Neodiprion lecontei: one gene and its partner. The protein of the gene in region 2 interacts with the protein of the main gene of each other region in a pairwise test. Links are inferred from orthologs where the notes say so. Each region holds a gene or a part of one and is shown on either strand. Other genes may lie near its edges.

Region 1 (4,838 bases), on a different chromosome or scaffold from region 2:
TCTGACTTTGAAAGCTTGGCATCGCGGGGTGACTTCTCGGTAGAATCTTTATTGGTATTCTTCAAACCTTCTTTGGATCCTGCGTCAGTCTCAGCCTCGGAGTCGCTACTGTCGGAGTCCGAACTTGAGCTAGAATCAGAGCTTGAAGTACCGAGATCCACATTGGACTCTACCGGTGATTCCGAATTGTTGTCAGCAACGAAAATATTCGCATTTTCGCTTATTAAATACTGCACTTCTGACCACGTTTGTGATTTGTATATCGGCACGCGAAAGTGCGCACCTGCAGCTGATCTCAGCACTTTCGGATTCCAAAGATCCACGCAGCCTAAAATTAACAGGTTTAAACATAAAGTGAATTTGAGCACAGCTTCGATTGTAGATTGGAACGAAACAATCAAGTTCATTTCTTCGGGTACGGACCTTTGGTTAAAATTACTCTCTCGCATCCGACTCCAGCCGCAACCCGAAGAATAGCTCCCAAGTTTCCGGGCTCTCTTACATTGTCGCATATCACAGTTATTGGTAACGCATCGGGAGAAGGTTCCTTGTTACTTACATCGGGAGCTACGAATATACCTAAACGAGAATCCCAGATTGTTAGTCGAGCGTTAGCCAGATGAAAACAAAATGGAAGTATTGGCAACTTACCCATAATGCCTGGGGAAACAGTCAAATCTGACCATAGCTGTATCGTTTGATATGGAAGTTTGTAAAGCTTGACACCATCTTTGGGTAGAGATATTTTGGCAATGTCAGATTTTCTGCTGAAGATAATTATCTCAGGCATACATCCGGCTTTTATGGCATCCTCGATCAATCTAAATCCCTCCAGCAGAATTCTGTTGTCATCCTTATCTTTTTTACGCGATCTTACGACTTGCATTAAAGAGCTGTAACGGCGAGTAAATTGTGAATCACAAACAAAGGCTAGAAGATAAAAAGTTATGTCTAAAACGAGATCAAGTCCAGTTGATCCGCAATGCGTACCTTATTATGGGATCGTCCCTGTCGAGTTTAGTGAAAATCGGAGTCCCGTCATTGTTCAACGTGGCACCTTCCCTCTGCTCTTCTTGAATCTTTGCGTTTTCTTTCTTGTCTTCGGCCAGCTTGAGCCGTTGTCGTCGGGCAAATGCAAACTGGGCGGTCTGCAGAATATTTTGAGGAACGGTGTGCTCCTGATCGTTGTACAGATCTTTCTCGTTAACAATTTTTGATGGCTTGCGATGAGTCCACCGACTGTAGCCTTTGACTCGTAAAAACACTTGAGCGCTAATCTGCCGCTGAGTTATTGTACTTTGAAGACACCTCATGGTGCTTTGCATTGTTGTAAACGTAAATGCCATTTTCATAACATGTGTGTGTGTCTTTCTTCTTTTCTACCGCTACACTTTCAGCGTTGATTCTAATAATTAGCTGACCGGTGTTACAATCAGCATTGAAATTATTTGAAAGAGCAACTTCAGTCCGTAATATATCCGGCACTTGTTTTTTGAATGACGCAATCGTAACTCAATTGTTTTTGCCCGTGATATGCAAAACGCCGGTTTTGAGGTTAAGCTGGAGCTCTTGTAGCAACATGCGTGCCGCCACACACCACACCATAAAAATTAAAGGAGCGTATGTGTTTTGCTTTGAAAACAGGTTAGTATCGTGGTTAATATGCAGATTGCGAATTGCGACACGTGACCGGATTCGTGAATCGTAGAGAGCAACAGAGATATTTACGCAAGCGTCGTCGTCAATCGTTCAGTCGGGAGCGTGTGTCGATTGTTTTGACACGTAAAGTGCGCTGTGTGTCGTCCAAGATGAACGTGGAGGTCGCGAAGTGAGCCGCGAGACAATGCTTAGTTAACAGTAGTTCGTTTAGTTTAATATTGTTTCTCAGTTCTGGACTCTGTGATTGCTAATCGCCGGTTTCGACACTCATCTTGGAAGACAATGGATCAATGGATAAATAATGCAGGCTGAAAATATATCCCCCTCGAACATAGCTGTCGATGAGCCTGCGGAGGTCAGGTGACCTCTTAACCCAGTGATAAATTAAACCATCGTTGTTGATGATCAGCAGCTTAAAATGAAGCTGTTCAAGTTGATCGTTCATCAGAAGAACTTTAGTGGGGAGGATTTGATTATAAATCCCAAAGATTATCCGGGAATAAAGAAAGGCGATATCGTTGAGATATTTCATCCGGAAGATGAATTCAGTCGTTTGCTTCTGCAGATCACCGCCTTCAAGGAGGATCTACAAGGCAGAGAAACCGTCAGTGTTGAAAATAACATTGCGACCACTTTTCAACTTAGAACATTCGCTGATGTTTACATGAATATTGTCAATCCCGACGATGTCGCCTTGGATTCTGTCGAGCTTACCTTCAAGGACCAATATATGGGGCGTAGTGAGATGTGGAGATTGAAAAATTGTCTGGTAATTAAAAGTCTGACTCTTTTATTGTGTATCGATAAAGTTTCCCACTAAACAAACTCCCATCTCATCGAACTTTGATTTAAAATCTTAATTTCTCTAGGTCAACACGTGCGTGTATTTAAATAAGAAGATCGAATTCTGCGGAGGAAGCATTAGGTGCCAAGTACACGAAATGTGGTCCCAGGGGGATCGAGTTGCCTGTGGCGTGATAACTGACGATACAAAGGTGAAATATCTGTAACAATTTGCTAAATCTGGCCAAGGATACAATCAAAAAGCTCTTAATTTTATAGCAATAATCGAGCTATTAAACTTGAATTCGACGAATCAATCGACATAGCTTTAACATTGATAACAATGTTCTAAATCATTGTCTTCACAATAGGTGGTCTTCCGTTCGTCGACAAGCATGGTATACCTGTTTATCCAAATGAGTTCCGAAATGTGGGACTTTGATATTCATGGAGACTTGTATTTTGAGAAAGCAGTAAATGGGTTTTTAGCTGATCTTTTTCAAAAGTGGAAGAAAAACGGTAGCAACCATGAAGTGACGATAGTTTTATTCTCACGAACATTTTATAACGCGACAAGCCTTGAAGAATTTCCCAATCACATGAGAGAGTGCTTGCAGCACGATTATCGGGGTAGATTCTACGAAGATTTTTATAGGTAATGCAAATATCAATGGCATCCACCACAAAATGCTCAATCTTAAACATCTCCAACGTGTGTTATAGAGTTGCTGTACAAAATGAGAGATACGAAGACTGGAGCAATATATTAGTTCAATTGCGAAAACTGTTTACCGATTATCAAAAAATTGTCCTCGAATATCACCAACGGCCTGGAATTGTTATGCCAAAAGCCATAAACTCAACAGCTGCTCAAGGGAATTTCTTAGAAGTTCTGAATATGTCCTTGAACGGTGAGCGATAGTTGATACTATTGACTAATAACCTGTAGATGTGTGGAAATTGAATAGCAATTTATTTCTTTCGCAAGAAGTTTATATTACGAAATTATTATGCAATGTGATGTACGATATTGTGATATGCTTTCTTTTTTAGTTTTCGAAAAACACTACCTGGATCGCAGTTTTGATCGAACCGGGCAGCTTTCTGTGGTTATCACTCCGGGGGTTGGAGTATTCGAAGTTGATAGAGAATTGACCAACGTTACTAAACAAAGAATCATTGATAATGGTGTGGGTAGTGACTTGGTTTGCGTGGGAGAACAGCCGCTGCACGCAGTTCCTTTGTTAAAGGTACTGTTCCATTATGTTGAAATCTTGAAACCAGAGTTCTTGTGTTAATTCTATTATCACATAAGAATATTTTATTATAAGACAAAATTCTTGTAGTTCCATAACAAAGATACGTCGATAAATGCTGCAGACGACTACAGCATGCCGCATTGGATAAATCTCAGTTTCTATTCGACAAACAAAAAAATACCTTACTCAACCTTCATACCTCGCATCAAGTTACCACCTAAAATATCAAAACCACCGTCAGAGTGTGGAAAATTGCCAAACAAGACAAAGCTTCTGCAGGAAGATGGCAGCGAATGTCTGCGTAATACACTGTTCGACTATGATGCCTACGATGCTCAGGTTTTCCAGTTACCACCTGTTCATACTGCTAGGTGAAACTATTTTTTTAACAATTAGTTTATAATAATTTAAATTAATTTGAAGACTTGTATTTTGTATTAAACTCGATTTGTTATTTTTTATAAATTTGTAATCTAGCTTGCAGAGAGTATCGACTAGAACAAAGAAAACTAGTGTAGCCTGCATGGAAACGCACAGCAATTCCCAGGCTCTTAAATTGTTGAAAAGAAAGATGTCGGATCCTGATATACATCATCCACCTCCCGATACTCATTCTTCCCCAACGGTTGCCTCCCGCAGTGCAGCAATTTCGATTCCTCATCGAGCGGACGATTTGATAAGTGTCAACTCTAACGGAGAAGTTAATTGTAAGATGGTATAGTTGTTACATGTCAAGTACAGAGCTAAATCGATACAATTTTCCATAGCAAAACCAAGAATATCTTTAATTGATGACCATGGAGATGTGGAGATATCACCTCCGTTCAGACCAGTCGTCGGTAGTGCTGGAAGTCCTACCAATTCCGTTACTCAACCCAACAACATTAGGCCAGGAAGAGCTCTGATCAATCCATTTGACCCGTCTCACGTAACGATAAAGTTGACAAGTAACAGGCGAAGATGGACTCACATTTTTCCGAAAGGTGGAGTATCGCGACTGCATTTACTCCGTAAGTATTTTCTTGCAATAATTTCGCGTGTCATATTTCTCAGGACCTACGGGTGTGCTTATACAACAACACCACTACCAAGCTGTGCCTACGCAGTCTAGTCCCGAACAACTTAGCGACACAATGT
Region 2 (3,890 bases):
GCGCCCGTTGTCTCATATTTATGTATGATAAATAAGTTCAAATTGCAGGAGCATGTATTTGTTGATATATTGACAGAATTTACAGTAAGCGCTATGAGAAATGCGTATTTTAATTTATTCACCGAAAAGAAGGCATTTGAAGAAAAATATGCATCACAGCTGGTATCGATGTTCCCTGGTGAAAGTATAACTTTTGTCGCTCATAAATTTATTGGCCCCGCTTGATCAGCTCCAAGAAGTTGGATAGTTCGATTCGTAACTCGAACGAATGAAATTTTTACAAACATTGCTACGGCCGATTGATTATTTCCTTGATTTAGCCCATGGAATACATACCGTGTGTTATATAACTGTACGAAATGTTTTTAGGTAATTTCATCTTGTGTCATCCAATTAAAAGAATAAATCGAAACACATGTGGCGTGAAAAAAAGAATACAAAATCGGATATCACAGTTACGTAAAACAAACGAGTTTTACTTCTGTCCCAAAGGTTTATCCCTCTGCAACGATAACGAACATCGTGGACGATTTATCACGTTATATAAAAGTATTCATTTTTTACCGGGTAAAAGCTTTCAACACACCAGCCTTTATTCAATATCAAGAAATTCAAATCTATAAACAAAGAATGTATTTTTCGCAGTAATTTATACATACTTCGTGATAGTTTCTTGAAAATTACATATTATTTCTTAATTATATTTAATAATATTCATTACACGTTTCACATGTCTTCGGTATCGCTATCAGAATCTTCGTCCATCGCTTGCCGTGCTTTCGTTTCAGCCTCTGCCTTTATCTCGAATGGCACACGTTCGTGTCTACCGTTTGTGTGATTTCCAACCCAACTCATTTCCAACTCAAATTGTTTGTCTTTCAATTCGTCGTGCAGCAAGTAAATTATCCTTGCTGCTTCTCTGATCAAATCCTTACAGGACATATCGGCAAGTTTCAATTTTTCTATTTCTGTTTTGGCAGACTGTTTTGCTTTACCTGTGAAAAAAAAAATTGTATACAAAAATTACTGCCATTTCAACATTGCACATCATCATGTGATCGTCGATAGTCACCTTTATCAAAAAAACTAGCAAATTTTAATAAGTAACTGAAAATTCTACAATATTGTGACATTAGTTGAGTTTGAACTTGCAAAAATTTGATAGTACTGTATTGTTTCAACTCTAATAAGTTAATACTACGTAGTCTCACAAAATCTAATATTTTTTGCTGAAATTTGCTCCAAAGTTATATAAAAAAAATGTATATATATTACACGCACAGAAAAAAGAAGTGATGTAGTGTATTAGTGACAAACGTATTGATTTAAGTCAAGGAATAAAAGAAAAAATCTTTCAGCTTAGTCAGTAACAGTCAAACTGGCAACTTATTTACACTTTCAAACTCATTTGCAAGATGTAAAAGAAGCGCAATACGTACTGTCTCCTGACACGAATGTTGCTAACATAAATTCTTACCAATAGCACATCCGTAATAGCCATAAGAAACGCCGGATGGATCGATCATGTACATTACTGGGCCATCAGCTTCATATGCTCCGATTATAACCGAACAGCCGTAGGGCCGTACAGCTGAGTATAAGGTATAAGCGTGCATGTACATTGACACACGGTCATTCAAATATTTCAGAGGTATTCCTATGCCGTACTGAGCACGGTAGCTGGCTGCTTCCGTGCGTGCAGTTTCAGCGATTTGTCGTGCATCGGAAGACAGGCCAGAAACTGCCATTCCGACATGATTATCTATATTGAAAAGGCGCTTGTTAGCGCCAGGTTCATAGAGCTTAGAGGTGACGAGTTTTTCAACAGCAAATACGACCCCATCTTTACCACGGAGGCCAATGACGGTGCTGAAAAAAATTTCATTAAAATGCTTATTTTAATTCATTCATTCACTTCTTATTTTCAACAAACATGCTTGATACGGTCAATTATATTTATGATGATGAAATTTCAACATACCCACTATTTTCTACCGCTTTTTGTGCGTATTCCACTTGAAAAACTCGACCATCGGGAGAAAACTGCGATGCCGAGAGATCGTACTGTGAATTTTAAGGTTAGAATCGTCACAATTGGCTGGTCAAATATCAGGAAAGAACATAGATTTTTAATCGATTTTTAATAGTTTTACGTACCCCTGTTCCTATAGAACTCATCCTTGTTACAGTATATTAAAAATTATTATTTCTGCACAATTAATTGTATTATTTATTTACACGCGACGCGGCGTGAATAGGCAGAAATCAGAATTCAATTGTCAGAAGCAAAACCACGACCACTCATCCGTGGTACATGTAAAGTTGGTAAGAAGCTGCAAGTAAACAGGCGGACGACGCTGCAGCAGCTTCGATATATTCGCTACGCTATGAACCACTGTGAACACTTGAAAACGACAAAGACGGACTCGATAATATCTGCGCAGCACAGCTATGACGTCATTGGGAGCCTCAGTTATCCAACTCTTGTAAACCGTAAGCCAGATTCAACAGAAGCATTTAAATCAGTTGGTATTTGATTACTGATAAGATTATTCGGATTAAGGGGAGAATGAAAGTTGAAATTACGCTGTGTTACAGGTGTTTGTGAACGCTTAATATCAGAGTAAAAACAGTTACTGGTAAGTCATTAGTGTTCTTTTGATACGTCGTCGCCTTTTGTGATTGTGATCTTCGCCGCCAGACGCGCAGGTCGAGTTACTGTTCCAATTCCGTATATCAATTCTGCGCTACGCTGTCGCATCCGAGAGTTAATGTTTGTAGTTCGTGGTAAAGAATTGTTAACCTTAATTCTTTAATGACAGTCCATGACAGTTTACAAGAGACACATAGACTGATTGAGTGCTTAAACAACCTTCGTCCGATATTCGTTTGCGCTCGGTGCTTCCTGTGCTGCGAAAATTACTCTCGTACTGTCGTCCGTTAAATTGGACGATCGGATGAATATGCGGCTGTGAGTGACGTGAGTAAAAACGTCCGTTTTATTACACACATTCAAGTATACAATTCTCTCTTTGCTTTTCCGGCTTTGCGGTTGGAACGTAGCCTGCGTCTTTCAGCAGGATAATTCACAGATAATATATTCAAGGTAATCGCATCTCGCTACCTGAACGGAAGTATTTATTCATACCTATGTATGAATGGTAGTTATTTCTATCGTTTTTCCATCCCTCTTCATAAATCACCTTATCAGTTTATTATGTGTAAACTTATCACTCGTTACGACACCGATAAGATTTGAATTGTCGATAGTTACAATGCAGGTGGTATGTACTAATTTCATGAGGTTCTTTAGAATTTTTGATATAATGTCGGCATTCCTATAAGCAATAGTCAACCATGGCATTTTTTGGACTACAATATTAATAATCATAACAATATTAACAATCACACAAATGTTATAACTAATAATTAATCTACTCCTTCGGCTCTACAAATCTGTCTTATCATCATACTCAGCAAGCATTAAATTCGCTGTTTTTATGCTCACAACTGCTGTTCAAAGCTATCGATTATAATATTGGAGACTTCCTTTTTTTTTTTTTTTTGTCACCTACATCCACACTTGCTCTGCTTCTTAATTGTTACCTTATGTTTTGTACGCACATTCTCTGCGCTTAAGTGCATATAGAAAAGTGATGTATTTACCTCCTTATTAGAGAATCACGTTGATAATAAAGCTATAATGAGGATATGGTAATATTGAAATCAATTAGACGTCTATTTCATCATGATCTGATAAAAGTCTTAGGGTTTTGACCCTTAGCTCTCTGACTTGAGAACTTTTTTTACTTTACAGATGTCGGGTAGTATTGTAGAATTGGAATAGAAATTTGAATCGACCACAATGGTGGTTCTGTGGTCGGGGAGAC

The links. The genes of interacting proteins can lie anywhere in the genome.
Region 1: the proteins of proteasome subunit alpha type-3 (region 2) and GATOR complex protein Iml1 interact in a two-hybrid assay, tested with the Caenorhabditis elegans proteins (2 studies listed by BioGRID). The link is inferred for Neodiprion lecontei from reciprocal best matches to the Caenorhabditis elegans genes pas-7 and depd-5.

What each region holds. Positions count from the first base shown.
Region 1 is NC_060263.1:5,519,273-5,524,110, reverse strand, and holds the start of GATOR complex protein Iml1, read left to right. Parts: upstream 1-1,775; 5' UTR 1,776-2,077; coding exon 2,078-2,428; intron 2,429-2,528; coding exon 2,529-2,654; intron 2,655-2,813; coding exon 2,814-3,097; intron 3,098-3,165; coding exon 3,166-3,353; intron 3,354-3,495; coding exon 3,496-3,692; intron 3,693-3,788; coding exon 3,789-4,072; intron 4,073-4,178; coding exon 4,179-4,408; intron 4,409-4,468; coding exon 4,469-4,684; intron 4,685-4,754; coding exon 4,755-4,838. Other genes in the region: rRNA methyltransferase 3, mitochondrial, read right to left, coding at 1-328, 424-579, 652-893, 991-1,352.
Region 2 is NC_060265.1:20,676,934-20,680,823, forward strand, and holds proteasome subunit alpha type-3, read right to left. Parts: upstream 2,340-3,890; 5' UTR 2,179-2,339; coding exon 2,158-2,178; intron 2,065-2,157; coding exon 1,982-2,064; intron 1,870-1,981; coding exon 1,478-1,869; intron 996-1,477; coding exon 727-995; 3' UTR 617-726; downstream 1-616. Other genes in the region: alpha-(1,6)-fucosyltransferase, read left to right, coding at 3,866-3,890.